7 linked regions of the Macaca mulatta genome follow. The protein of the gene in region 1 purifies or fractionates together with the protein of each later gene. This does not show direct contact. Links are inferred from orthologs where the notes say so. Each region holds a gene or a part of one and is shown in the gene's direction. Other genes may lie near its edges.

The links.
Region 2: the proteins of YWHAE (region 1) and ATIC fractionate together in Homo sapiens (co-fractionation; 3 studies listed by BioGRID). This does not show direct contact. The link is inferred for Macaca mulatta from reciprocal best matches to the Homo sapiens genes YWHAE and ATIC.
Region 3: the proteins of YWHAE (region 1) and EIF5 purify together in Homo sapiens (affinity purification with mass spectrometry; 3 studies listed by BioGRID and IntAct, with this or other methods). This does not show direct contact. The link is inferred for Macaca mulatta from reciprocal best matches to the Homo sapiens genes YWHAE and EIF5.
Region 4: the proteins of YWHAE (region 1) and KLC3 purify together in Homo sapiens (affinity purification with mass spectrometry; 3 studies listed by BioGRID and IntAct, with this or other methods). This does not show direct contact. The link is inferred for Macaca mulatta from reciprocal best matches to the Homo sapiens genes YWHAE and KLC3.
Region 5: the proteins of YWHAE (region 1) and FOXO3 purify together in Homo sapiens (affinity purification with mass spectrometry; 4 studies listed by BioGRID and IntAct, with this or other methods). This does not show direct contact. The link is inferred for Macaca mulatta from reciprocal best matches to the Homo sapiens genes YWHAE and FOXO3.
Region 6: the proteins of YWHAE (region 1) and MARK1 purify together in Homo sapiens (affinity purification with mass spectrometry; 3 studies listed by BioGRID and IntAct, with this or other methods). This does not show direct contact. The link is inferred for Macaca mulatta from reciprocal best matches to the Homo sapiens genes YWHAE and MARK1.
Region 7: the proteins of YWHAE (region 1) and FAM53C purify together in Homo sapiens (affinity purification with mass spectrometry; 3 studies listed by BioGRID and IntAct, with this or other methods). This does not show direct contact. The link is inferred for Macaca mulatta from reciprocal best matches to the Homo sapiens genes YWHAE and FAM53C.

The regions. Positions count from the first base shown.
Region 1 is NC_133421.1:2,944,593-2,948,790, reverse strand, and holds the start of YWHAE (14-3-3 protein epsilon), read left to right. Parts: upstream 1-1,398; 5' UTR 1,399-1,497; coding exon 1,498-1,561; intron 1,562-4,198. UniProt on the Homo sapiens protein: Adapter protein implicated in the regulation of a large spectrum of both general and specialized signaling pathways. Binds to a large number of partners, usually by recognition of a phosphoserine or phosphothreonine motif.
Region 2 is NC_133417.1:120,529,082-120,532,581, forward strand, and holds part of ATIC (bifunctional purine biosynthesis protein ATIC), read left to right. Parts: intron 1-1,833; coding exon 1,834-1,922; intron 1,923-2,887; coding exon 2,888-3,039; intron 3,040-3,500. UniProt on the Homo sapiens protein: Bifunctional enzyme that catalyzes the last two steps of purine biosynthesis.
Region 3 is NC_133412.1:176,739,776-176,743,827, forward strand, and holds the start of EIF5 (eukaryotic translation initiation factor 5), read left to right. Parts: upstream 1-1,252; 5' UTR 1,253-1,322; intron 1,323-1,459; exon of another isoform or gene 1,460-1,461; 5' UTR 1,462-1,670; exon of another isoform or gene 1,671-2,704; 5' UTR 2,705-2,912; coding exon 2,913-2,984; intron 2,985-3,087; coding exon 3,088-3,169; intron 3,170-3,720; coding exon 3,721-3,893; intron 3,894-4,052.
Region 4 is NC_133424.1:57,866,622-57,870,676, forward strand, and holds the start of KLC3 (kinesin light chain 3), read left to right. Parts: upstream 1-1,255; 5' UTR 1,256-1,330; coding exon 1,331-1,463; intron 1,464-1,799; coding exon 1,800-2,065; intron 2,066-2,805; coding exon 2,806-3,036; intron 3,037-3,327; coding exon 3,328-3,397; intron 3,398-3,821; coding exon 3,822-4,041; intron 4,042-4,055. UniProt on the Homo sapiens protein: Kinesin is a microtubule-associated force-producing protein that may play a role in organelle transport. Plays a role during spermiogenesis in the development of the sperm tail midpiece and in the normal function of spermatozoa.
Region 5 is NC_133409.1:13,664,492-13,668,695, forward strand, and holds the start of FOXO3 (forkhead box protein O3), read left to right. Parts: upstream 1-1,404; 5' UTR 1,405-1,658; intron 1,659-2,729; 5' UTR 2,730-2,848; coding exon 2,849-3,466; intron 3,467-4,204. UniProt on the Homo sapiens protein: Transcriptional activator that recognizes and binds to the DNA sequence 5'-[AG]TAAA[TC]A-3' and regulates different processes, such as apoptosis and autophagy.
Region 6 is NC_133406.1:78,453,310-78,456,809, forward strand, and holds part of MARK1 (serine/threonine-protein kinase MARK1), read left to right. Parts: intron 1-2,992; coding exon 2,993-3,146; intron 3,147-3,452; coding exon 3,453-3,500. UniProt on the Homo sapiens protein: Serine/threonine-protein kinase. Involved in cell polarity and microtubule dynamics regulation. Phosphorylates DCX, MAP2 and MAP4. Phosphorylates the microtubule-associated protein MAPT/TAU.
Region 7 is NC_133411.1:147,210,230-147,213,729, forward strand, and holds part of FAM53C (protein FAM53C), read left to right. Parts: intron 1-359; coding exon 360-1,144; intron 1,145-2,559; coding exon 2,560-2,817; 3' UTR 2,818-3,500.

The DNA.
Region 1 (4,198 bases):
TCCTCATCTAACAAATTCCCTGCTCCTATTCATGGTGGGCCTAGGGAGGAAAAAAGGTTAAATAGGAGGAGAAGAAAAAGATCAGTGTGAGGGGAAAGTTGATGCCTGACAACTGGAGCTCCCCTGTCCCTGGCTACAACAGGACCCAGTTCTTTTTTTTTTGAGATGGAGTTGTGCTCTTGTTGCCCAGGCTGGTGTGCAATGGTGTGATCTTGGTTCACTGCACCCTCCGACTCCCTGGTTCAAGAGATTCTCCTGCCTCAGCCTCCCAAGCAGCTGGGATTACAGGGGTGCACCACCACACCCAGCGAATTTTTGTGTATATATATATATATTTTTTTCTTTTGAGACAGTCTCGCACTGTCGCCTGGGCTGGAGTGCAATGGGGGGATCTCAGCTCACTGTAACCTCTGCCTCCCGGGTTCAAGAGATTCTCCTGACTTAGCCTCCTGAGTAGCTGGGATTACAGCCATGTACCACCACGCCCAGCTAATTTTTTGTATTTTTAGTAGAGACGGGGTTTCACTATGTTGGCCAGGCTGGTCTCGAACTCCTGACCTTGTGATCCGCCCGCCTTGGCCTCCCAAGGTGCTGGGGTTACAGGTGTGAGCCACTGCACCCGGCCAGGGCCCAGTTCGTTACCCTGAGTGTAAAAGTGTCTGAAATGGGCCCATGACCAGGAGTGGCGGAGAAACCCAGGACGCGGGCCGGGCGCGGTGGCTCACTCCTGTAATCCCAGCGCTTTGGGAGGCCGAGGTGGGCGGATCACCTTGAAGTCGGCAGTTCGAGACCAGCCTGACCAACATGGTGAAACCCCGTCTCTATTAAAAATACAAAAGGTAGCTGGGCTTGGTGGCGGGCGCCTGAAATCCCAGCTACTCGGGAGGCTGAGGCAGGAGAATCACTTGAACCCGGGAGGCAGACGTTGTGTTGAGCCGAGATCGCACCACTGCACTCCAGCCTGGGGAACAAGAGCGAAACTCCGTCTCAAAAAAAAAACAAAAACACAAAAGGAAACCAGGACACGGTAGTGACAGCCGCTGCTTTCGGGGAGTAAGACCTGCCATGACAGAAACCGTTAGCGCCTCCGTCGTTCTCTTCCGCAGGTCGGGCCTCGGGCCCAGGTCTCCCGCCGGCTTTTTTCAGGAGCAGTCCCGGCCGGCCCCGCCTCAGCCCTTCCCGTTCCCCGGGGGCCGCTCCCTCTCAGCAGTCGCAGTTCCCGCCTCTGGGCTCCGGCGCCCGCTGAGCCGACGGAGGAGGAGCGTCTCCTGCGCTGGTTCCAGCCTCTTCGGGCGTCGAGTTCCAGGACCCGCCCCCCGCGCCAGTTGCCAGGGAGCGGTTGCCATAGAGCTGAGCAGTTGTCCGCGTGCGCAGGCGGAAGTCCCGGATTGAGGCGCCGCCATTTTTGCTGCCCGGACGCGGAGCGAGAGGCTGAGAGAGTCGGAGACACTATCCGCTTCCATCCGTCGCGCATACCCTGCCGGAGCCGCTGCCGCTATGGATGATCGAGAGGATCTGGTGTACCAGGCGAAGCTGGCCGAGCAGGCTGAGCGATACGACGGTGAGTTGGGGGGGCAGCGGGGGGCTGGAATTCTCGGACCCTCTGCCGCCGCCCACAGAGGCCGGGAACAGGAGACAAAATGGCGGCATCGTCTGCGAGCCTGGCCCGGGGGCTTGGGTTCGGGAAGCAGGAAATGGCCTGGGAGCTCCCGGGGCAATGGGAGGCTGTATGCCTTGGAATGTGACCCCTTCGCCGTCCTTAACTGCAAACAACTCGCGGGCCGGGAGGCCGGGGAGACGGGGTGGAGGAGTTGGTTGTAAAATGGCGGCTGGGGGGAGGGCGAGTCTCGGGGCGGGGGAGGGGGAGGAGATGGCGGGTGCTGTCTCCGAACGAGCAGCCCTCAGGGGAGCTTCTGGGACGGTCTTGGGATGTGGAGAACAATTGGGTGCGGTGACGGGGGAAGCAGCACCCGCCACATGGGAGAGAGCGGAGACCGGGAGCTGTAGCGCGGGCGCCTTTCAGGGAAATATGGCGGGTGGGGGCGGTGGCTTTTCCCCGGAGGCCCCGTGTGGGGCGGCGGCCGTGGAGTCTCACAAAGGAGAAGCCTTCAGAGCGATGGGCTTCCTCAGGCCTGAGGCGGGGGACAGTCCCGGGTGATGGTGGGGGGAGAGGGGTGAGCGGGAATCACTGCGGTTCGTCTGGGGCGGTGGCAGGCGCCGACGCTGCGATCGGGTTTCTCTCCCGTGGGCCGGCACCTCGTAGTGAGGGGGTTTGGGGCTTTTCCTCCTCGCCGCCTGCTGGGGAGGCCCAGAAAACCCTCACTCCCTCCCCTTTCCTCAGACTTAAAACGGGAGACCTCGAAGTTCCTGTAACCTTTCTCTGACTGCATCACCAGTGGGTTCTGATGGATAGAAGCAGGAGACCAGGAGGCCACGACTCTGAGAGTTCGAGCCTTTGTAGGGCCCGAGCCTCAGTCCACCCGTTTGTAAAAACGATGACTTTACAGTTTGTGCGCACCATCATGACACATGGAAAGACCTGTTGAAATAAAGTTATTTCCAATAGTGTTCAGTCACTGTATTTTGGTTGACTCTGCAGGCTCGGAATGCTGGTCTGTACTTCGTGGGGGAGCTTAACCTATTCCAGGCACTCGGCTGAGGCTGGGGTTTTTGAGTTATGAAGGTTGGAGATCCTGTTGCTTTCTTTTTTTCCATTTCAAATAAATGGGTTTATGTAGAAATTTTAGTAGTTCCTCTTTGTTCGTTGTTCCTTTGCCCATAACGGGTTCTCCAGTCCTTTTTCATAACTTTATCAAAATATCCATTGTGTCTGTCTAGTCATTGTCAGGAAGTTTATTCTTAGTCCTCCCTCCCAGTCCACCTTTTGAAATACCCTCACATTTATAATTGTGCGATACTGTAGTATTAAAGGAAAAGTCATGTATGTGGGTCCTGTGGTTTTAATGCTTTTGTGTGGTAGGGTGGGATGAGACATGGTTGGAATCAAGTATCTTTGATCCTTAGATTTTTCCTGATTAAGCTACCTGTATTTCAAAATGTTATGTAGGGCCGTTGCTTTCCTGGAAATGCAGATTTAGTCATGTGGATAACCTCAGGGCTACTCCCCCTTATCAGAAACGAGGATTCAGGGATTTGAAAATAAGACAAGGCCTCTAGAAGTCAAATTTGGAATAATACTAAACTAAATTTCGTCTTGTAAATTGTTAAATTGCTATTTGTATTGAACAAGATTCCTGTTGGGAGAGGGAGGGGGATTAGGTGGGGAAGTACAGCTCAAGGTCAGCTTTGTCTTTATTTCAGTGTTTAAAAATCAAACAGATAAAGATGTGCTTGTATTGGAAGTCTCCTCCTCCGCTCCTCATCTCCAGATGTTCCCCTCTTCATCTATTAGTGTTCTTGGGAGGAAACAAATTATACTTGAATGCTTTCTGTTTTGTGGGCATTGGAGCTCTGAGTAAACTTGCTGTGATAACTAGAAAGGATGTGAGAGAAGGTCTTTTTTTTGAAAGCTCCTTTAAAAAACCGATTTGAAAGCTTATGATTGTAGTTTCCAATTAAATGACAGGTTAGTGATAATTATATTTTTGATGTGAGTGGTGAAGATTTCTGACCAGAGCCCTTACTGGTTATTGAACATAGGACTCTGATAAAGCCACATCCTTACAGTTGTTAATGTTAGGTGTCCCCTTCAGGATCTAAAGGGGTAAGGAAATAGAATCTGCAAGGTGAGGAGCTATTCCTGTGACTTGGGGCATATGGTAGGGATTCAGTAGAAAGGAGAGGAGGAGAAGGAGACAGACACCAGGAATTTCTACCTGTGTCCTCTGCCTGTGTCCATTCCTTTATTGAGTGCAATATTTTTTTGTTTCTGGGACGAAGTGTTGCCGGAGTCCTGGTCACCAAACAGAATTTAGCAGGTGTCGGTGGTGGAAGAAGGTAAGACAGTATATTAGCAGGATTTCTTTGTTGGATACTTGTACCCAAATGCTGGTTTTCCAGCTGCTCTTTTATCTTTCTGTTAACTGCAGTAGGCCTATTTTATTTTGCTTGCTGTGTTGAATTAATGCCTAAACTTACATGTACCCTCATTTAATTCTATCCTGGGGCGTTGGAATCAATTTATATGGATTATTTAATGGTACGGGAGGAAGAGCTAAGCTGTATTCAGGAAAAGGAC
Region 2 (3,500 bases), on another chromosome or scaffold:
AGTCTGTGAACATGGGGTGTCTTTCTATTCATTTAGATTGTCTTTAATTTCTTTTAACATTGTCTTGTGAAGTAGAATTGTTTTCTTAATTTTTTTCTCATTCATTGCCAATGTATATTTTAATACAATTGAATTTTGTATATTGTTCATATATCCTGTGGCTTTGCTGCACTCATTTATTAGTGCTAAGAGGTTATTTTTGTGAATTTGGGATTTTCGGTATACTAGATGATATCATCTGCAAATGGAGATAACTTCACTGCTTTCTTTCCTGTCCTGATGCCTTTTATTTTCTTTTCTTTGCTAATTGCCCTGGCTAGAACTTCTAGTACAGTGTTCAGTAGAAGTGGTAAGAATGGATGTTATTGTTTTGTTCCTTTTCTTAAGACGGAGTTTTGCTCTTGTCACCCGAGTTGGAGTGCAGTTGCGTGATCTTGGCTCACTGACCTCCGCCTCCCGGGTTCAAGTGATTCTCCTGCTTCAGCCTCCCAAGTAACTGGGATTACAGGCGTGTGCCACCTTGCCCAGCTAATTTTGTATTGTTAGTAGAGACAGGGTTTCTCCATGTTGGTCAGGCTGGTCTTGAACTCCCAACCTCAGGTGATCTGCTCTCCTCAGCCTCCCAAAGTACTGGGATTACAGGTGTGTGCCACCTTGCCCGACTAATTTTTGTATTTTTAGTAGAGACAGGGTTTCACCATATTGACTAGGCTGGTCTCAGACTTCTGACCTCAGGTGATCCGCCTGGCTTGGCCTCCCAAAGTGCTGGGATTACATGCGTGAGCCACCGGCTTGGCCTCTTATCTTGTTTCTGAGTTTAGGGGAAAAGTATTTAGTCATTCACCATCAAGTATGATGTTAGCTGTGGGTTTTTCTTACACTTTGTCATGTTCAGTAAGTTCCCTTCTATTTTTAATTAGTTGAGTATTTTTATATGAATAGCTGAATTTTGTCATATCCTTTTTGTACATCTATTGAGATGATCAGGTGGTTTTTTGATTTTTCTAGATGCAGTTTGTTAGTGTTTTGTTGAGGGTTTTTGTGTGAAGGTACGTACCTAAGAGATACTGGTCTCTAGTTTTCTTGTGCCATTTGTCTGGTTTTAGTAGGAGGGCAGTAGACTTAATAAAGATGAGCTGCAAAGTGTTTCCCCTTCTCTTCTGTTCTTCTGTTTTTTGTTTTTTTGTTTTTAATTAGTTTTCAAGTTACGCTTGTTTCGCTAGGGAGCCTGCCCCCAGAGCTCCTCACACTACAGGTCTAGGAGTAGAACTGTACTTCACTGATTGTTAATTTTAGATTACTTCTGTATTTTAAATTATTCTTTTGGCATTCCTGTTACCATCATTTTTATGACCTCTCTGCACGCAAAACAAATGTTTCACCCTTAGAATGCTCTGATATTTTTCATCATTGTACCAATCCATTGGAAAAAGAATCTAAATTCTAATGTTCTGAATAATAGTGATCGCATTCCAAAATGTGGATGTTGTCTGTAATCTTGTACTTTATCCTTTTATTAAAATGTTTTATAAATGTTTGATGGCTTGGTGGTTCCGGGTAGCTAAGGTTACGCAAGCAGCAGCGTTGCAGTGTGACGTGGAGGGAGTACTGTGTATCCAGCACCTGCTGACTAAATTCCCTCTGCTCGACCCCAGCAGGACACCCTGACTTTTTAACACACTTGTTAGAACTCCAAAATGTCAGGCTCATAGTTTATATTTTAGTTCTGTATGGCTTTTGATAACGTTAATAGTACTGACTTGTCTTTTTCCTAGATAGCTGTAAACCACATGAGTGGAGTTTTTAATGACGCCAGATTCGTCTTTGTTTTAGAGTTGTTGCCTGCAATCTCTATCCCTTTGTGAAGACAGTGGCTTCTCCAGGTGTAACTGTTGAGGAGGCTGTGGAGCAAATTGACATTGGTAAGTCAGAAAAACCATTTTAGAAGACTGAGAGAGGAGAGAATTATTTAAATTTTAGTGAGATTTCATTTTGACTTTCATTACTGAGGAAATAGAAAATAACTGCTTCTGGATTGTGTTTTGGGATTACTATAATTCATTTATATTTTCTTTTTTCATTTATATTTTCTTTTTTTATTTTTTTTGAGACGGAGTCTGGCTCTGTTGCCCAAGCTGGAGGGCAGTGGCATGATCTCGGCTCACTGCAAGCTCCGCCTCCCGGGTTCACGCCATTCTCCTGCCTCAGTCCCCCGAGTAGCTGGAACTATAGGCGCCCGCCAGCATGCCCGGCTAATTTTTTGTAGTTTGTTTAGTAGAGATGGGGTTTCACCGTGTTAGCCAGGATGGTCTCTATCTCCTGACCTCGTGATCCGCCTGCCTTGGCCTCCCAAAGTGCTGGGATTACAGGCATGAGCCACTGCGCCCGGCCTCATTTATATTTTCTAAGCTATTTTTTGTGTGCAGAGATTCATCTGGGTAATTTTCCTGATTTTTTTTCTCTTTTTTTTTTTTTTTTTGAGACGGAGTCTTGCTTTGCCCCCCAGGCTGGAGTGCAGTGGTGCAATTTCGGCTCACTGCAACCTCTGCCTCCCAGGCTCAAGTGATTATCCTGCCTCAGCCTCCTGAGTAGCTGGGATTACAAGTGCACACCACCAAGCCCAGCTAATTTTTTTTTTTTATTTTTAGTAGAGACGGGGTTTTGCCATGTTGGCCAGGCTGGTCTCGAGCTCCTGACCTCAGGTGATCCATCTGCCTCAGCCTCCCAAAGTGCTGGGATTCCAGGCGTGAGCCACCGTGCCCAGCTTATTTTCCTGATTTTTAAGTCAAGAATTAAAATGGAAGTACATGCACAATGACTTTATTTCAAAGAGGTTCATAAGCTGATAGGGACATACAAAAATCATTATGTCTTTTGTTCTTCAAAGGTGGAGTAACCTTACTGAGAGCTGCAGCCAAAAACCATGCTCGAGTGACAGTAGTGTGTGAACCAGAGGACTATGTGGCAGTGTCCACGGAGATGCAGAGCTCCGAGAGTAAGGACACCTCCTTGGAGACTAGACGCCAGTTAGCTTTGAAGGTGGGATGCACTGTCATGATATTGTGAGTTATATCCATGGAGTGCAGCATTTGCCAGACCAGTCAGTATTCAATTCTTGGTAGATTGCATCACCTACCAAAGCTCTGCGTGGGGTTGCTGTCCTTTTGTTAAAAATTGAGAGACCAGCTATTACAGAGGTATTCTGTCACAAAGATTGAAAGAGGGCCGGCGCGGTGGTTCACACCTGCAATCCCAGCACTTTGGGAGGCCGAGGCTGGCAGATCACCTGAGATCAGGAGTTCGAGACCAGCCTGGCCAACGTGGTGAAACCCCGTCTCTACTAAAAATACAAAGATTAGCTGGGTGTGGTGGTGTATGCCTGTAATCCCAACTACTCGGGAGACTGAGGCAGGAGAATCGCTTGAACCCAGGAGGTGGAAGGTGCAGTGAGCCGAGATCACACCACTGCACTCTAGCCTGGGTGGCAGAGTGAGACTTTG
Region 3 (4,052 bases), on another chromosome or scaffold:
ACAGTCTCACTCTGTTGTCCAGGCTGGAGTGCAGTGGTGTGATCTCGGCTCACTGCAACCTGTGCCTCCCAGGTTCAAGGATTCTCCTGCCTCAGCCTCCCGAGTAGCTGGGATTACAAGCGCGCCACCACGCCCAGCTGATTTTTTGTATTTTTAGTAGAGACGGGGTTCCACCATATTGGCCAGGCTGGTCTCAAATTCCTGACCTCAGGTGATCCGCCCACCTCAGCCCTCCCAAAGTGCTGGAATTACAGACTTGAGCCACCGCGACCGGCCTAAATAATAATAATTTTCAACAGAATACATTGGAATCTCATTATAAACGCCTGCTCTGGGCTACGATTTGCCTGTCAAGGAATTCACAAGTCATAAACTGGAGGGGTGGACCCGAGGTGATGCCCACTAGGAGCAAGGTGACAGAGAAGCACGAAGCACAGCGCTTTTCAAGCCTGGGAGCGCAGGGAGGCCTTCACCAGAAGGTGGGAACCCACCACGAAGCGCCTTCAGGAGGCCCCGGGATTCCAAACCAATTAAGGGCCTGCTCTTCCGAAAACGGGAGGCGACGCGCTGAGCTAAGCGCGCAGGCTGGGGTGCGGGCCGGCACCGAGGCGGCGCGGTCTCGCGACCGCCCTGGGCAGTGACTGGCTCGTTCCGCCAGCGGCCAATCCACCCCGAGTCCAAAACAGAAGACAGCCCTGGGATGAAAGACCCAAGCCTGGGTTTAGGGTGGAAAAACAACTATTGCTCGAGGCCCGGAGACGGGCGTCCCGGGAGGACGGGGAAGGGAGACGAGCGCCCACCGCGGAGAGAACGCGGTAGGGTTCCTCTCCCCGAAGGTGGCGGCCGCAATAACACGGCCTCGAGAGCGGTTTCGAGGACGATGGCTCCTGCGTCCCGGGAGTCGCTGCGACGCCGCGGCCTGGCCCACACCCGGCGGGGGAGGAGACCAACCGCCATGTTCCCCGCAAAGCCCAAAGCGACAAGGCACGGAGCCCGGCACACCGGCCCCGCCACCAGGGACACTCCGGCTCTCGCGAGACCCGAACACTGCGACGCGAAGACCTCTGGGAAAAGCGGGGGGAAGGGAGAGGAAGGAAGCGGGGCCGGGGCTGGAGGCGGGCCGAAGCCGCGAGTGGAGCCTCAGGAAGCAGAAGGGGCGCGGAAGGACGCGATTGACGTCGCAAGCGAGCCAATGACGAGCGAACTGTGGCAGACCTCCAGCCAATGGGCAGTGAGGCCTGACGCGGGGGGCGGACGCTGGGGCCGAGGGTAGCTTGAGCGCGGCGGCGGCGTTGTTCAGTCAGAGCGAGAACATTCCAGAGGTGAGTCCGGTGGTGGGGCGGCGGCCCCGCGCCCCCTGCCCGGTGCTCCCCGCCCCCTCGACCCCGCGGGCCGCTGGCTGGCGGGGAAGGCGCACCCCCCGACCCGCCCGCGGCTCACGGCGCCGTCTCTCCGCGCCAGGTCGCCAGGCTCCGGCGCTGACGGGTGTGGACCGCGGACGTCGCTGGGACAGCCCCTCCCCGCTGCTCGGCGGCGGCACCTGGCCCGGCCGCTCCTCGCTGCGCTTCGCCTCCGCCTCCTTGGACTCGGACTCGGGTTTAAATCGCGCCTCTCTTCATCCCAGTCCCGGGCGAGCAGCGTTGGGTTTATGTCTTTATTTGACGAAAACGGTGAGTCGCGGGCGCGGCGGACCAGGAGATGGCGGCCGCACAAGATGGCGGCGGCCGCCGCGTGACCCCGCCGCGGCGTGTGGCGCAGTTTGGGCGGACGGCGGGCGGGCGCGGGCTCGGGCACCGGCCGCCCCCTCCCCGCGCGCTCCCCGGCCTGGCGTCGCCCCCTCCCCGGCCTGGCGGGAGCGCGTCGCGCGTGCCCGCCGCTCGGGCTGAGTCAGGCTTCAGCTGCTGCATTTGTGAGTCATCGCGCGCTCCTGGCGGGGGCGGCCCGAGCCCCGGCACCCCTCGGCTGGGTGTCGCTTCCCGGCTGCGCACCCTCCGGGGCCCGCCGGCTCCCGGGGGACGCGCTGGGGATGGGGCCAGACGCTCGGGTCGCGCGCCGCCCTCCTTCGCGGAGGTGTCCGGCTCGCCAGCCCCCGCGGAAACGCCTCGGAGCGCCGTAGCCATGGGGACCGGGTCGAAGGTTAACCGAGTGTTTGAATAGCGAGGAAAAGGGAGGCCGGGCCGAGCCTCCCTTGCTTAATGGCACTTTTGGGCGAGCACTGCTTCTAAGGAAGTGCTGCTTTGAAGTAAGCCATGGTTGCCGAAGCAACAATTAGTGGTAGAGAATAGTTTCCTAGTTACCCCTTAAAAATGATGGCGAAGGGGGGTGTGCCTGAGAAGTTTCCTGATCCAGGCCGGGTGGGGGCGGAGAGGGTTCGGGTTCGTTCTTCAGCACTTCTAGGATGGCCGCAGAGGCAAACCTGCTGATTGCTGTCGGTCTGATGGAAACTCACGGCGGCTGAGGCAGCGCAGCTTCTGTTTTCTTATCAGGCATTTCCCTACCAGAGTCACAGCTTAGTCGAAATGGAGGCCTTTTATGTTCCCGCAGGTTGTACTGTGTGACGTGAGAATGACTGCTTGTGATCTCAGATGGTTTTTAAAGTGGAATTAAGCAGAAGCATTACTAGGATGTAAAAGGAGGTGTTTCCATCCAGCGATGATGTTAAACCTGGGGGGATTTTTGTGTGTTCTTTCCCTTTCTTTTTCAGAGCTGTTGCGCAGCCATTGGTACCTGTATTGGGGAAACATAGCATACAAGCAAGAAGCTTACAGCCTCAGTGGCGAAAATTTTTTCATGTCAGAGACCGAGAACTCTTGCAGTCGTTTATGTCATCCCTTCTTCTCCAGACAGAAGATACCAAAAAGTTGCAATCAAAGATCTCTTCATCTTATTGATAAAGCCACTAATAAGCCAAAATGTCTGTCAATGTCAACCGCAGCGTGTCAGACCAGTTCTATCGCTACAAGATGCCCCGTCTGATTGCCAAGGTAATAAACTACTCTTCAATTTAGTTGATAACTCTTTTTGTAGAATTTTGGAGTTTGCATCTGTCAGGGGAAACTGCACAATTAAAATTCTTATTTCCTTTAGGTCGAGGGCAAAGGAAATGGAATCAAGACAGTTATAGTCAACATGGTTGACGTTGCAAAGGCGCTTAATCGGCCTCCAACGTGTAAGTAAATCTTGGAAAAGTTCATAAAGGGCATATTATGGGATAGAGACCTCAAAGTAGTTGAGCTGCAAAACTTGTTCTAATTGTATGCTGGCTAATTAGCTTGCAAGTTAGTGAGGTACCGTGGTTTATTGGTTGCCATGAGTTCACAAAACTACCAGGGGAACACATTTAATTAAAGTGGATGGCCGGGTGCGGTGGTTCACACCTGTAACCCCCAGCACTTTGGAAGGCTGAGGCAGGCGAATCACGAGGTCAGGAGTTCTAGACCAACCTAGCCAACATAGTGAAACGCTGAATCTACTAATAATACAAAAATTAGCCAGGCATGGTGGCATGCCCTGTAGTCCCAGCTGCTCAGGAGGCTGAGGCAGGAGAATCACTTGAACCCAGGAGGCCGAGGTTGTGGGGAGCTGAGACCATGCTGTTGCACTCCAGCCTGGGTGACAGACTCCATCTCAAAAAAAAAAAATAAAGTGTGGGTATAAATGTGGGTGAATAACCAAAGATTTAGTTAACTAACGATCCAAATTCCTCTTTCATTCAAATAGATCCCACCAAATATTTTGGTTGTGAGCTGGGAGCACAGACCCAGTTTGATGTTAAGAATGACCGTTACATTGTCAATGGATCTCATGAGGCGAATAAGCTGCAAGACATGTTGGATGGATTCATTAAAAAATTTGTTCTCTGTCCTGAATGTGAGAATCCTGAAACAGATTTGGTAAGTGCTTTTGTGGTTGTCAAAAGAAAAAGCCATATGCCTTTTGTTACCGTTAAGTCACCTTCGTGAGAAGGCAGCAAATATAAGTCAAAGACAAAATCTCCAGTTTTGGAGATATTTCTGTTCTTTTTTTTTAAAGTAGGTCACTGTGAAAAAAGT
Region 4 (4,055 bases), on another chromosome or scaffold:
CTGGGAGTACGGGTGTGAGCCACCGCACCTGGCCTACATTGTGTTTCTTTTTTTTTTTTTTTTTTTTTTTTTGAGACGGAGTCTCGCTCTGTCACCCAGGCTGGAGTGCAGTGGCTGGATCTCAGCTCACTGCAAGCTCCGCCTCCCGGGTTCACGCCATTCTCCTGGCTCAGCCTCCCGAGTAGCTGGGACTACAGGCGCCTGCCACCTCGCCCGGCTAGTTTTTTGTATTTTTTAGTAGAGACGGGGTTTCACCATGTTAGTCAGGATGGTCTCGATCTCCTGACCTCGTGATCCGCCTGTCTTGGCCTCCCAAAGTGCTGGGATTACAGGCTTGAGCCACCATGCTCGGCTACATTGTGTTTCTAATGAGGAAGTGTGTGTGTATGTGTCACTGTATTTCTGGGAGGGTGCGTGTGTGTATTGTGGGTTTTTTTGTTTTTTTTTTTTAATGGAGTCTCACTCTGTCGCCCGCCCAGGCTGGATTGCAAGTGGCATGACCTTGGCTTACTGCAACCTCCGCCTCCCGGGTTCAAGCAATTCTTCTGCCTCAGCCTCCCGAGTAGCTGGGACTACAGGCATGTGCCACCACCCCGGTTAATTTTTTTTTTTTTTTGTATTTTTAGTAGAGACGGGGTTTCACCATGTTGGCCAGGCTAGTCTCAAACTCCTGGCCTCAAGTCATCTGCCCGCCTCGGCCTCCCAAAGTGCTGGGATTACAGGTGTGAGCCGCTACACCTGGCCCCATGTTGTATTGGAGAGAAGGGAGAGTGCGTGTGTGTGTCAAATTGTATTTTGGAGAGGAAAATGTGTATGTTGCATTGTGTATTTAAGAAGGGAGGGTGCAGGTGTGTGAGGTGTGTTTCTGAGGAGTGTGTTTGTGTGTCTGTGAGGACCTCAGGGTCACCACCAGCTAAGTTTCTGTGACTGTCACCCACATACAACCACATGAAGTCCCATAGAGGGGGGGCCCCCGCCCACTATGAGCTGGGCTTCAGACTCTCAGCTGTCACATGGCCAGTGTGACATCCCTGGACCACACCTATCACACGTGTGTCCCAACAGGCCCTGGGCTGGCTGAGCCTGTCTGATGGAGGAGGGCAGAGCCCCTGTTCCCCCAGGGTCCATCTGCTGCCTGGGAGCCAACACATGGCCCCGTCCTCACTCCCCCCAGCCTAGAGGCCTCCTGGGCTTCCGCGGGCCCTGGCCCTGGCCCTGGCCCCGGCCCCGGCCCCGGCCCCGGCCCCGGCCCCTCAGCCCTCTCCTCCCACCCCACCTACCCCACCCACCCCCAGTGGTCTGACTGGTTCCCAACAAAAACACCCTAAGAATGAGCTCACGCAGAGGCTGCCGCCTCCACACGCCCCGCCCCACTCGTCTGGCAGAGGAGGGTGCCTCTGGTCCCAGGTCGGGAGCTCTGGGCCAGGGGATCCAGGGGCCTTGGGGTGGGGAAGGCTGGCCAGGTGAGCTGAGAGCAAATGGGGGACCCCAGGCTAGCTGTTTGCCCTCTCTTGGTTAATTACACATAGGATTTGGGAACTGTCCCCCGGGCAGAACCCTGGGTTGGGAGGACAGACAAAGGTAGACTAGACTGTTCCAGATGAGAGCTGGCTGGGATGGGTGTGGAGACTGGGATGGAGACGGTGTGGAGGCAGAGGGCTGGCCAGGATGGGTGGAGCAGGGAAGAGCCAAGATGGGGAGAAGTTAGGGGTCCTGATGGCCATTATGGGAATAGAGGGTAGGGGCCAACTGACTGGCCTGGGCAATGATTTCCCAAACCCCTCACCATTGCACCCCAGGAGCAGCAATGTCTGTGCAGGTGGTGGCTCCCGGAAGTGCGGGGCTGGGCCCAGAGCGCCTGAGCCCTGAGGAGCTGGTACGGCAGACGCGGCAAGTGGTCCAGGGGCTGGAGGCGCTGCGGGCAGAGCACCGTGGCCTGGCTGGGCACCTGGCAGAGGCCCTGGCGGGACAGGGCCCAGTGACTGGCTTGGAGATGCTGGAGGAAAAGCAGCAGGTGGTGAGCCACTCGCTGGAGGCCATCGAGCTGGGGCTGGGCGAGGCCCAGGTATGAGGGGGCCAGGTGGGGAACTGGGAGAGGATAAACTGAGGGCGGAGGGAGGGCCAGATATGAGGGGGACAGGTATGCAGGGGACTGGGAGAGGGGTTCGCTATTGCTGAGGGGCACACTTTGGGAGGCTGAGGTGGGCAGATCACTTGAAGTCAGGAGTTCAAGACCAGCCTGACCAACATGGCAAAACCCCATCTCTACTAAAAATACAAAAATGAGCTGGGCATGAGGCTCCTGTAATCCCAGCTACTCGGGAGGCTGAGGCATGAGAATCACTTGAAACTGGGAGGTGGAGGTTGCAGTGAGTGGAGATCGTGCCATTCCACTCCAGTCTGGGTGACAGAGACTGTTTCAAAAAACAGCAAAAAAAAGTATGGCAGAAAGGCATATCTGGGGCAGGCGGAAGCCTAGGGGAACGAGGCCTGGGAAGGTGAGGCTCCAGGCCAGAGATGGAGTCCCTTGGCAGTTCTAGGGGGTCCTTGTATGTGACAGGGACCCCTGAACCAGATGGCATTCTTCAGTAAACTGTGGGTCCTAGGGCAACTTCAGGGGTGAAATCAGAGGGGCTGCTTAGAGCCTCTGAGGGCACTGGAGCCACGCTGGTGGAGTCTCTGCAGAATCTGGGGGTGTCGTACATAGTAGTGGGGTGCAGCGGCCTGATTCGAGGTCTGAGCTGGGTCAGAGGCTGTCTGGCAGGGTAGGAACCAACCTCGACTTGGGACCCACACCCTGGGCAGGTGCTGCTGGCCTTGTCGGCACACGTGGGTGCACTGGAGGCAGAGAAGCAGCGGCTGCGCTCGCAGGCCCGGCGGCTGGCCCAGGAGAACGTGTGGCTGCGGGAGGAACTGGAGGAGACACAGCGGCGGCTTCGGGCCAGCGAGGAGGCCGTGGCCCAGTTGGAGGAGGAAAAGCGCCACCTGGAGTTCCTGGGGCAGCTGCGACAGTACGACCCGCCCACGGAGACCCAGGTGCCACGGGCAGGGCAAGGTGGGGGTGCTGGGCCCTTCACAGAGCCCCACGGTTCCCCAGACCCTCCTTAGAATCCCAGTCCCCCAACCCTCCACAGAGCCCCCAGACCCACCAGAACTTCCGCAGACGCCCCCACTAGCTGCTCCCCGAAGCCCCCGGGCCTCGCCAGTCCCCCAGGGGGCCCCTGACGCTCATGATCACCACCTCCCTCAAACCCCGAGATAGATGCAGGGCTCCAGTCTCTGAAACAAGCCCCCCTCCCCCGGCCCCCCACTTTCCTGTCCCTGCAGCAGTCTGAGTCCCCGCCTCGCCGAGACAGCCTGGCCTCCTTGTTCCCCAGCGAGGAGGAGGAGAGGAAAGGTGGGTATCGGGAGTACATGCCACAGATGATGGCGGGCCAGGGTGGGGAGCGGGCTCTGAGCTGCAGAACCCCAAAATCTCTGAACAGGGATGGGGAGGTGAGGGCAGGGTCAGGAGGACCCTGAATGTGACAGTGAGCAGGTGAGGCTGGGAGCTGCGAAGACAGGGTAGCTGCCATGAGCCCGGCAGGCCCCGTATTCACATCTTGCAGGGCAAGTGAGCTGCCATGTACCTGTCCCGAGGCCAGGATGCATCCCACCAGCTGGTTAGATGCTAGTGACTCCAATCTCAGAAGTTAACATGGGGGCCCATAGTCCCAGGGGCCAGTTAGGCAGTCTGGGGCGTGTGTCTCCTCGTGCGAGGATGGAGGGGCAGGAGGCTTAGGAGGCTTGCAGTGACCCAGAGCCCACCCTGCCCCACCCAGGTCCTGAGGCCGCAGGAGCAGCAGCAGCTCAGCAGGGTGGCTATGAGATCCCTGCCCGCCTTCGGACCCTGCATAACCTCGTGATCCAGTACGCGGGGCAGGGCCGGTATGAGGTGGCGGTGCCCCTGTGCCGCCAGGCCTTGGAGGACCTGGAGCGCAGCTCGGGCCACTGCCACCCTGACGTGGCCACCATGCTCAACATCCTGGCACTGGTATACCGGTGAGATGCGGCCG
Region 5 (4,204 bases), on another chromosome or scaffold:
GCGAAGGATTGGTTTCTAGTGCGCCCTTTCCCTTTTTCCCTCTCCTCTCTCTCCTTCCTTAGAATTTTACTCGATTGTTTATTATTTGCTGGGGGGCGGGGGCGGGGGGCGGAGAGGGGCGTCTGGGGCCTGGAGACTGGTAGCCGCGGCCAGTAAGCACGCGGCGTGCCTTGACGAGTAAGCCGCGCAGCGAATGGCGACGCGGCGGAGAGCTCCGGGGTCACGCGCGTGTGGAGACGATGACATCATCTGTTTGTACGCGTCGAACTAGCTTGGTGCAGGGGCGGGGCCGCGCGTCACTTGAGTGACGGGAGCTGCGCAAAGCCCGGAGCCCGGAGGCGGCGGGGCGGGCTGGCTCCTGTGTACGCTGGGCTGGACCTTTTTGTATATGGGGTCGTTGAGGAGCCCGCTTCTAGACTCTGAGCTATCTCTGGTGACTTACAAGGATTTTTTAAAAAAAGATATTTATGAACTAGTGTCTAGACTTTTGGTGTGCATGTCGCGTGTAGTGCATTCGTAGAGTACAAATAAACGATTTGGGGCACGGATCGTAGAAAAAGGACTTGTGCAGATGTTTTTTGTTTAACCTAAAGGATACGTATTTTTTTTTAAAGTCAAAAATGCACACGTAGCGGTTTTGTCGTCATTTACAAATTAGATTAAAATTATTTCTCCTTCTCAATTGTTCGGAATCTGCTCTTGAATGTAGGACAGGGGTAAATTTGCATTTCTTCGGAGTTAGTTACACCTCTCCCCCGTTTGCCATGAAACACATGAAAAGTGAAACACGACTGTGGTCCACCGTCCGAGGCGAGAGATTCAGTGCAAACCTTTTGGTGCCTGATCGAATCTGTGAGCATCAGCTTATCGAAGTTGTGCAGGCGCCAACATCTTCGCCATTCAGTATTTCCACGCCGCGGTAAACCTTGCCATCCACGCCCAGCATCTCACCTCGGGTGTTACCTAGTGTCGGGTTCTAACAGGGAACCGGACACCTGGGCTGGCCCAGAGCCCGGCGGGCGGACGCGCAGGTCGGGGACCCTGGTACCAGGCGCCCTGCCCGGAGTCGGGGAGGCCACGCCGCTGCGCTCCTTGGAGCGTCGGAGGCTGTCGCTCCTGCAGCTCCCGCTTCTCTTTCCTCTCCCTCCTCTCCCGGGCCAACGCCGCGCTTTGTTGTCGTTGGGGCTCTCGGGAGGGAGGAGGAGCCCAGCGGGGACAGCAGCGGGAGCCCGCCGAATCCCGGCTCACGGCGCGCTCCCGGACACCCACGCCCGCAGCCCCGCGGAGCTGGCCCGCGCAGGCGCGCGCGAGCTCACACACGCGCACTCACACACACACGCCCGCCGCGCGCCCAGCCCGCCGCCCAGCCCTCCCCCTGGGCGGGGACCCGCCCGCCCGCCCGCCGTCAGCTTAGGTTGAGGCGCCCTGCGTGTGTCTATAACTTTGTGCTGCTGCTGCGGCCGCCCTGCTCGTGGAAGGGAGGAGGAGGAATGTGGAAGGCGGCGGCGCGCGAGCTGACAGGCGGTTCCTCGGGCGGGCTGCGGCGACGGCCCGAGCGCTCCTCCTTCGCCGAGGTTGCGCGCCCCCTCCTCGCCGTGCCCCGGGCCCGCGCGGGATCGTGCGTCGTCCCGCCGCGTCCCTGAAGGGAAGGAAGCGAGGTAGGCGCCGGAGCCGTGCAGCGGGCGGCCGCCTTCCCGGTGACTCCGGATCTGCTTCCGAGCTGGGCCGGGCGCTTCCCTTTCCCCTCCCCGAGCCGCGGTGTGCGCGCCCCCCTTCTCGCCCGCTAGTGTTTTTAAAGGACTCAAGGGAAGGGGGAAACTGTCAAGATGGCAGCAGCGGGAGCAAGGAGGTGATGAACATGCTGGTCCGGGTTTTCTAGCAGCCCGGGAGACTTGGCGCTTCCCGACCTGTTGGAAGATTTATGTTCCGACTCGCTCCCTCCCCCGGATCCCGACTGGGAAGGGGGCGGAGGGGACGACGTCCGCGAGAATGCAAACCACACAAAATCCCGAAGTGGCCGTCCCTGCCGGGCTCGACCCTCTGCGAACGCCCGCCGGGCTGCTCCTTCCCCTTCTTTCCGTGTTTCCTTTATTTTTTGGAAGTGACAAGGGCCCATCTGCGCCCAGACCCCCGTTCGCCCTCCGCCCCGCGGACGAAGAGAGGAGAGGGAGCTGCCCGCGCAGTCCCCGGGCTCGGGCCATTCGACCGGGTTAGGGGTGACGGGGGGTCGCGGAGGCAGCTGGGCCGGGAAAGGGGAGAAGAGCCGAAGACAGCACAGACTTGAGCGGCGGCGCCGCGGAAGGCACTAGAGCGGGCCCGAGCGAAACATAAACAAACGCACGCACGCCCGAGCTCGGGCTCTGACCGCCGCTCGGCTGCGCCAGCTCCGGCCGCTGCCCGCTTTAAAGGCGCGGCCGCCCCTCCCCCGGGCGCCCCTCCCCCTTCTCCCCGCCCCGCCGCCTAGCCCGGGAGGGACCTGCGGCGGGCCGCGGGGGGAGGGGGCTGCCCCGCGCGAGGCCGTCGATTCGCTCGCGGCTCCCCCGCGGCCTGGCCAGGGGGCGGTGTCTGCTGCGCCAGGTTCGCTGGCCGCACGTCTCCAGGTCCGCCTGTTCCTGGGAGGCGGGCGCGGCAAGGCTGGGAGGTAGTGGCGGCGGGCGAGGACTCGCCGAGGACTGCGCTCCGGCCCGGGATAACCAACTCTCCTTCTCTCTCCTCTGGTGCTTCCCCAGGCGGCGGCGGCGGCGCCCGGGAGCCGGAGCCTTCGCGGCGCCCACGTCCCTCCCCCGCCGCACCCCGCCCCGGCGCGAGAGGAGAGCGCGAGAGCCCCAGCCGCGGGCGGGCGGCGAAGATGGCAGAGGCACCGGCCTCCCCGGCCCCGCTCTCTCCGCTGGAAGTGGAGCTGGACCCGGAGTTCGAGCCCCAGAGCCGTCCGCGCTCCTGTACGTGGCCCCTGCAAAGGCCGGAGCTCCAAGCGAGCCCTGCTAAGCCCTCGGGGGAGACGGCCGCCGACTCCATGATCCCCGAGGAGGACGACGATGAAGACGACGAGGACGGCGGGGGACGGGCCGGCTCGGCCATGGCGATCGGCGGCGGCGGGAGCGGCACGCTGGGCTCCGGGCTGCTCCTTGAGGACTCGGCCCGGGTGCTGGCACCCGGAGGGCAAGACCCCGGGTCTGGGCCAGCCACCGCGGCGGGCGCTCTGAGCGGGGGTACACAGGCGCTGCTGCAGCCTCAGCAGCCGCTGCCACCGCCGCAGCCGGGGGCGGCTGGGGGCTCCGGGCAGCCGAGGAAATGCTCGTCGCGGCGGAACGCCTGGGGAAACCTGTCCTACGCGGACCTGATCACCCGCGCCATCGAAAGCTCCCCGGACAAACGGCTCACTCTGTCCCAGATCTACGAGTGGATGGTGCGTTGCGTGCCCTACTTCAAGGATAAGGGCGACAGCAACAGCTCTGCCGGCTGGAAGGTGCGTACCCACCCCGGGCTGGCGGCAGGACCCGCCGGGCCTCCTGCGCAGCGCGAGACGCGCCCTCGGATTCGTCGGAGCGCGCCTGCGGGCTCCAGGGCAAGGGGTTGGCAGGGGGAGCCTTCACTGTGAGGCTTTGGGTGTTCTCTTTGACTCCTGTAGCAGGGGCACCTGGGGACGGCCCGGAGGGGGGAAGGAGGCTCCCAGAGGCCTAGGGCATGGCCAGGTGAGGAGAGGGGGCAGGGGACGCCGGCGAGGGAAGGGCGAACGGACTGGAGTACATTTGCTGGATTCTCAGGACAGCGCCGAGAAGGTAGGTCTGCAGCCAACTTTGGAGTAGAGTTTACCGTAGTGGGGGTCTGATGCGGGCGCTGTAGGTGGAGTGAGAGGTGTGTGTGGGGGGGTGTTTGGGACGCAGTGTCCAGAGGAGGGGTTGGATGTGTGGTTTCCAGTCTGTCGCAGGAGCATGTTGTGTCGTCACTAGCTGAATCTTCGGGTCCAAGTTTCAGCTTGTGGGTGTTAACTCCTACAGGCACATCAATCCCATTAGAAAAAGTAGTGGTTGCAAACCTCTTCCTGGACGGCTTCCTTTCCTTGCCTGTATTGATACCTTTCCTTCTCAGAGATGTCGCTCCAGTAAATCTGCTTCTTACTAGCTGCTTCTGAAATGTTCTGGGGCCTCGAACCGGCCGATCTGGCCACCTCAATCCAGACTGGCTGCACCATCTGCTCCCGCCG
Region 6 (3,500 bases), on another chromosome or scaffold:
ATAAAGATCCTACTCTAACATTCTTATTTGTTGGAACTCAAAAATCACAATGTTAAATTACAAACTGGTTTTATTTCTGGGTACCAAGACAGATTTTATGAAAGAATAGGCCTACTGTCTTTCTTAGCTCCAGGAGCCACCATTCACAGCCTAGCCTTTGAGAATGGCCTCCCCCACAGCTTGTGCATCCAAATGTAACAGTCCCACCAAAGGTAATATGGTTATTCCAGGTGTGCAGAAAAGACAGTGACTGAAACGTGAGGAAGTGATAGCATTTAAAATAAAATGTATGTCTTAAAGGATTGTTAAAAGAGGTAACTCCAGGAAAGGTTATGTGATGACATTTTGCCTTATAAAGTGTCAAGTGACTGATGCTTTCAGTTGGGAATTCTCAAGGCCAGGAGAACTATAATAAGGAGATATACTCAGAAAATAACTGTATACAAATGGTGAACTATGTTAGTCAGTTTTGCATTGCTATAAAGAAGTACCTGAGACTGGGTAATTTATAAAGAAAAGAAGCTTATTTGACTCACAGTACTGCAGGCTGTACACAAAGCATAGTGTTGGCATCTGCTTCTGATAAGAGCCTCAGGAAGCTTACAGACATGATGGAAGGTGAGGGGGAGCCAGCATGTCACATGGCAAGAGGGAGCAGGTGAGAGGTGGGGGAGGTGCCACGCTCTTTTAAATAACCAGATCTAGCGTGAACACAAAGAGGGAGAGCTTGTTACCATGAGGACAGCACCAGGCCATTCATGAAGGGTCCACCTTCTTGACTCAAATACCTCCCTCTAGGCCCACTCCAACATTGGAGGTCACACTTCAACATGAGATTTGGAGGGGACAGAGCGTCCAAACCGTATCATGAAGCATAAAAGCAAATGATTCTTTAGCAAAACAAATATAAAGGCTATACATGGAGAGTCAAGAACAGATTGCAGGACATTAACAATTTATTGGAAATTAGACATCTGTGGGAGGTATTTTAGAGACAAAAAGCTGAAATTATTTATAATTCCATAGTAACTGTTAATGGAGCAGTGCATTCCAGCTGGCATATATTGAACCTTTATTGTACCAGAAACGATGCTGGGTACTGTGAATAGAAAGACGAGAAAGTCTCTGCTCTCAAGGAGCCCTTGGTCTAGAGGTGAGGCGAGCAGTTAATAGTATGGTACAGTATGTGTTCTCATTTGGGGGATGCACAGCATACTCTGGGAGCATATAGGTGGACATGTACCTACAGTAGGCTAAGGTCAGACCCACCAAGGCAGGTCTGTGTGACATGTAAGAAGTAGAATTAACAGTAGTACTTGGGGACCAGTTAGAAATAAGAGATAAGAGCCCATGAGATTTCCAATATGGATGACTGTGCAAGCACATTTGCCAAGATAGGAAAGGTACAGATTTCAGGGGGAAGAGAAGAAGTTCAATTTGGGATGGTTAAATTTGAGATTCTGTTGGATGGAGCTGTCTATTAGGCATTTGGATATATAGATCTGAATTAGGGGGAGAGATTTGAATAATTAACAGATTTGGAGTCTTCATTAGAGGGGAACACATTGCACATAGTAATGTGCCAGGGACTGTTCTAAGGACTTTGCAAATATTAATTAATCTAATCCTCCCAGTGAACCTACCAGGTGGGTACTATTATAATGGAAGAGAATCTTTAGTGGAGACATTAACAGCTAGAGATGTGGTATCAAAGAAGCCAAGTCAAGAGAATTTTAAGTGGGAAATAGTACAAATGGTTATTTCTAAAGGCTTTGAACTGTTTCTACTTAGATTTTAAAGTACACTCCTGAGGTCTTTAATTTTCCTGTTAATTTAAATATAAAAGAAGCACTAATTTTATAAGTATATAACCGTACCATGCATGAATTTAAATGAAGTGTGAATTGTATCAAATATAAATGGATGAGGCTACTGGTAAGTAGTAAGAGCCTGAACTTTGGAGCCAGCTTCACTGGATCTAAGTCCCCCCAACCCCTGCCCTATCCCAGCACAACCACTAACTGTGCAACTAAGGCAATTAATTTTCTGTGCCTCAGTTTTCTTATCTATAAAATGAGGGCAATAATAGTGCTTATCTTTTAGGATCATTGAAAGTGTTAAATGAATGAGCACTTATAAACTCGGAACAGTTTCTAGTGGATTATTATGGGCTTAAAAACTCGGAACAGTTTCTAGCGGATTATTATGTGCTCTGCATTAGCTGTTTATCATCATCAGTATTACTCTGCGATTTATCACTAGTATTATCTGTATATGAATTTAGATTTCCTATTGGGATGCCAGTGAGGCCATCAAAAGTTTGCTGGCAGCAAACAACTTGTATGTTACAGAGAGAGGGATAGTGTGTCAACCCGCAGTTTACCATGCTGAGTTCTAAGTAGATACGGTTTCCTGATCAGAAACAGTAAACTGTATTTTTTTTTTTTTTTTGCAAATGTGGAGAAAACAAAACAAACAAATCTATATGTATGTTTATATGCATACATATGTGTATATACATGTGTGTATATTTAAAATTTTAGATTTTATTTTAAGTTTGAATCTCAATAATGCCCCTTAACTTTTTTAACCTCAGTTTTTCCATCTGTAAAGTGTAGGTTAATACATCATAGGTTTGTTGTGATGATTAAATAAAGTAACATATAGAAAGAGCTTAGCACAGTGCCTAGTCTATAATAACCATTCAATAATTGGTAGCTGTTCTTTGGTATTTTGACTAAACTAAGGATTTGTACAAGATAATAGAAGATTATGAGTAGTCACTAAAGCATATTCTATCCAGTTCACTCCTTTTCCTGCTTGCCAACTTAAAGTTCTAGGCCCAATACTACACTGTTTTTTCAGTTTGGATTACTTCTTATATAACTTTAAATCATTTAGAAAATCAAAAGTGCAGTATTTGTGCAAACTTTTTTTTTTTTTTTTTTTTTTTTTTTTTGCTTTAAAATCCTTGTGGTTTTTCTTCTTATAGTTTGAAGGTGGTGAATCATTATCCAGTGGAAACTTGTGTCAGAGGTCCCGGCCCAGTAGTGACTTAAACAACAGCACTCTTCAGTCCCCTGCTCACCTGAAGGTCCAGAGAAGTATCTCAGCAAATCAGAAGCAGCGGCGTTTCAGTGATCATGGTAGGGGAAAAAGTCAAATAAGTGAAACAACACACGGGTTCTACCTAAACTTGTGTTTTTAAAGCATTGTACATTCACGTATCTATGTACTTGTGTCATCTAGTTCTCACAGACTTATATTACTGAATTATAAATATAATCCCTTTTACAGGGACTGACCTGATTTTTGAAATCACAATTTAATCTTCGTTCAGAGTTTAAAGCATGCAAATGTGGATAATTTTAATACAGAGTTTTTGTTTGTGAGCAGAAAATAAATCAGTTGTTTTTCAGCTCATTATGCTATTTTTTTTTTTTAAATTATAGCTGGTCCATCCATTCCTCCTGCTGTATCATATACCAAAAGAGCTCAGG
Region 7 (3,500 bases), on another chromosome or scaffold:
GCCCGGCTAGTTTTTTTTTTTGTATTTTTTAGTAGAGACGGGGTTTCACCGTGTTCGCCAGGATGGTCTCGATCTCCTGACCTAGTGATCCGCCCGTCTCGGCCTCCCAAAGTGCTGGGATTACAGGCTTGAGCCACCGCACCCGGCCCCTCCTTTGGTCTTTTGATTGCTGTGTGATTTTGGGAAAGTTACTGAATTTCTCTTATCTGTGAAATGGAGATAATGATAATGATACTACCTACCTCATAAAGTTTTTGGAAATTTTCACATAAAATGCTCCATACATTGTGTGGCACGTGGTAAGTTCTTAAAAAATGTAAGCTATCATTAATATTATTTTTATTACAAATGCCTTCCAGAAGGTGCTTCCTGGAGGGGCCTGCCCCACTGTTCCTGTGCTGAGTTCCAGGACAGCCTCAACTTCAGCTACCATCCCTCAGGCCTGAGCCTGCACCTCAGACCACCCAGTCGGGGAAGCTCCCCCAAGGAGCAGCCCCTCTCCCAAGTCCTAAGACCTGAGCCCCCAGACCCAGAGAAGCTTCCTGTGCCCCCTGCCCCTCCATCCAAGAGGCACTGCCGCTCACTCTCAGTGCCCGTGGACCTGTCTCGCTGGCAGCCAGTGTGGCGGCCCGCCCCCTCCAAGCTGTGGACTCCCATCAAGCACCGGGGCAGTGGTGGAGGGGGTGGGCCGCAGGTGCCTCACCAGAGCCCCCCGAAGCGGGTCTCCAGCCTCAGGTTCCTCCAAGCTCCCAGTGCCTCTTCTCAATGTGTCCCAGCCCACAGACCCTATAGCCCTCCTTTCTTCAGCCTGGCCCTGGCCCAAGATTCCTCTCGACCCTGCGCTGCCTCCCCTCAAAGTGGCTCCTGGGAGAGTGATGCTGAGTCCTTGTCACCTTGCCCACCTCAGCGCCGCTTCTCCTTGTCACCCAGCCTGGGCCCGCAGGCAAGCCGCTTCTTGCCCTCTGCCCGGAGCTCTCCTGCATCCTCACCAGAGCTGCCCTGGCGACCTCGAGGTCTCCGCAACCTTCCCCGAAGCCGCTCACAGCCTTGTGATCTGGATGCCCGCAAAACTGGGGTCAAGCGGCGCCACGAGGAGGACCCCCGGCGTCTGCGGCCTTCCTTGGACTTTGACAAGATGAATCAGGTGGGACCAACAAGACTAGAGGAGCTTGCATGGGAGTGTGGGGACTCTGTTCTGTTTCCGCTTTTGAGCTAGCCCCTAGCTTCATTACCCTGCCGCTCCCATCTCCCCTCCGCCACCAACAGCACCTCCTTTAGCTCTCAGGGTGACCTACCATCCCAGCTTGGCTGGGACTGTCCCAGTTTTAGTACTGAAAGTCCCCCCATCCTGTGAAATGCCTTAATCCTGGGAGTTAGAGAAACTGGGGTGAGACCCATGTTAAACCTTCCAACAGGGATCCCAAATTGTCTTGCAAGAGGTACTTTCCCTCCTTTCCAAGAATGCATAAGCTGCAAAAAATTTCATCATCAGTACCTACTCCTTGTGCCCAAAGCTGGTTTTGCCACTTGCCTGTCACTGCTTCAAAGTGGTTCTGTGAAGGCTGAAGCAAGATGGGCTGCTACAGTGTATTCATTTGTTAGACCAATGTTTTTTGACTTCCTGGTTTGAGTATAGTTATTGTATGTATGCACTTGCTCACTCTTTTCATATTATTCTTTCTAGACCACTGGGTTACAAACCTCTTTAAGAATTGATTTAGGCCGGGCTCGGTGGCTCAAGCCTGTAATCCCAGCACTTTGGGTGGCCGAGACGGGCAGATCACAAGGTCAGGAGATCGAGACCATCCTGGCTAACACAGTGAAACCCCGTCTCTACTAAAAAATGCAAAAAAACTAGCCAGGCGGGTTGGCGGGCACCTGTAGTCCCAGCTACTCGGGAGGCTAAGGTAGGAGAATGGCCTAAACCTGGGAGGCGGAGCTTGCAGTGAGCTGAGATCCGGCCACTGCACCCCAGCCTGGGCGACAGAGCAAGACTCCGTCTCAAAAAAAAAAAAAAAAAAAGAATTGATTTAACTTTTTCATAGAGTCGTCCATCCCATCTGCAAATATTTACTGACTCTGACTAGGCACTGGCAGTACAGAGTAGTGAAACACTGCAGATGATGTTCTTGCCCTCACAGAGCTTCTATTCTTGAATCCAATGGAAATAATGGGCGCCAAATTTTGTCAGAAAGTTTACAAATCACACCTGTAATCCCAGCACTTTGGGAGGCCAAGGCGGGCAGATCTTGAAGTCAGGAGATCGAGACCATCCTGGTTAACACGGTGAAACCCCGTCTCTACTAAAAATACAAAAAATTAGCTGGGCATGGTGGCGGGTGCCTGTAGTCCCAGCTACTCAGGAGGCTGAGGCAGGAGAATGGCGTGAACCCAGGAGGCGAAGCTTGCAGTGAGCCAAGATCATGCCACTGCATTCCAGCCTGGGTGACAAAGCGAGACTCCGTCTCAAAAAAAAAAAAAAGAATGTTTACAAACCTTACCCTAAAGCCTTAGAATTCTTGCCTTCAGGTGTAACTGTCTTCTTTGTTTGTTTGACAGAAACCATACTCAGGAGGTCTCTGTCTCCAAGAAACAGCCCGGGAAGGCAGCAGCATCTCTCCACCGTGGTTCATGGCCTGTAGCCCCCCACCCCTCTCTGCTTCCTGCAGCCCCACTGGGGGTTCCTCCCAGGTGCTGAGTGAAAGCGAAGAGGAGGAGGAGGGGGCTGTGCGGTGGGGTCGGCAGGCGCTGAGCAAGCGGACACTGTGCCAGCAGGACTTTGGGGACCTGGACTTGAATTTGATTGAGGAGAACTAAAACTGAGAGGCTACTTCCTGGGGCCACACAGACTGACTCTCTCATGGCTACTAACAAGTGTCGAGGCCCCAAGGCTGGGGGCCAAGCCTGGGAATGGGGGTGAGTGGAGGGCTCCGACTCAGGGCAGCCGGAAATCTTCTCGCTCCAGCAAGCTCGACCATGCCGAGAGACTGGCTGGGACAAGATAAACGGAGCTGGTGGCGGGAGGGACAGCCCCAGAGCAGACCCTTCCCATGGCGGCCCTGAGTGTGAGTATCCCTGCCACGAAGAGAGCAATGGGCAGGGAAGGAACGGGTCTGCCGACCCCAGCTCGGGGAATTTCACTAGCCCCTTTGCTTCAAAGGGCACTTGTGTCTTAGAATTTGGCCAGGGTGGGGGGTTGAGTCAGCCTCCTCAGAGAAACTGCGTGAGAGTGTGTGCGTGCATGGGCGTGTACTTGTGGAACGGTGTGTTTGCGTAGCCTTAGGGAAGGAAGGCAATTGCTCCTTAACAGCAGAGTATCATGATACCCCCGGGATCTTGAGTTTTTTACAGGATGTTGGGTTTGCTCAAGGAGTCAAGAGGAGGGCGCAAAGTTTTCCTTTTTTCTAAATAGCTCTGGAACCAGGCTTGTAATCCATAGCATCACCGACTCTGCAAAGGATTTCATTTTGGGGCACAGCAGGGTGTTTTAAGTGCTGTGA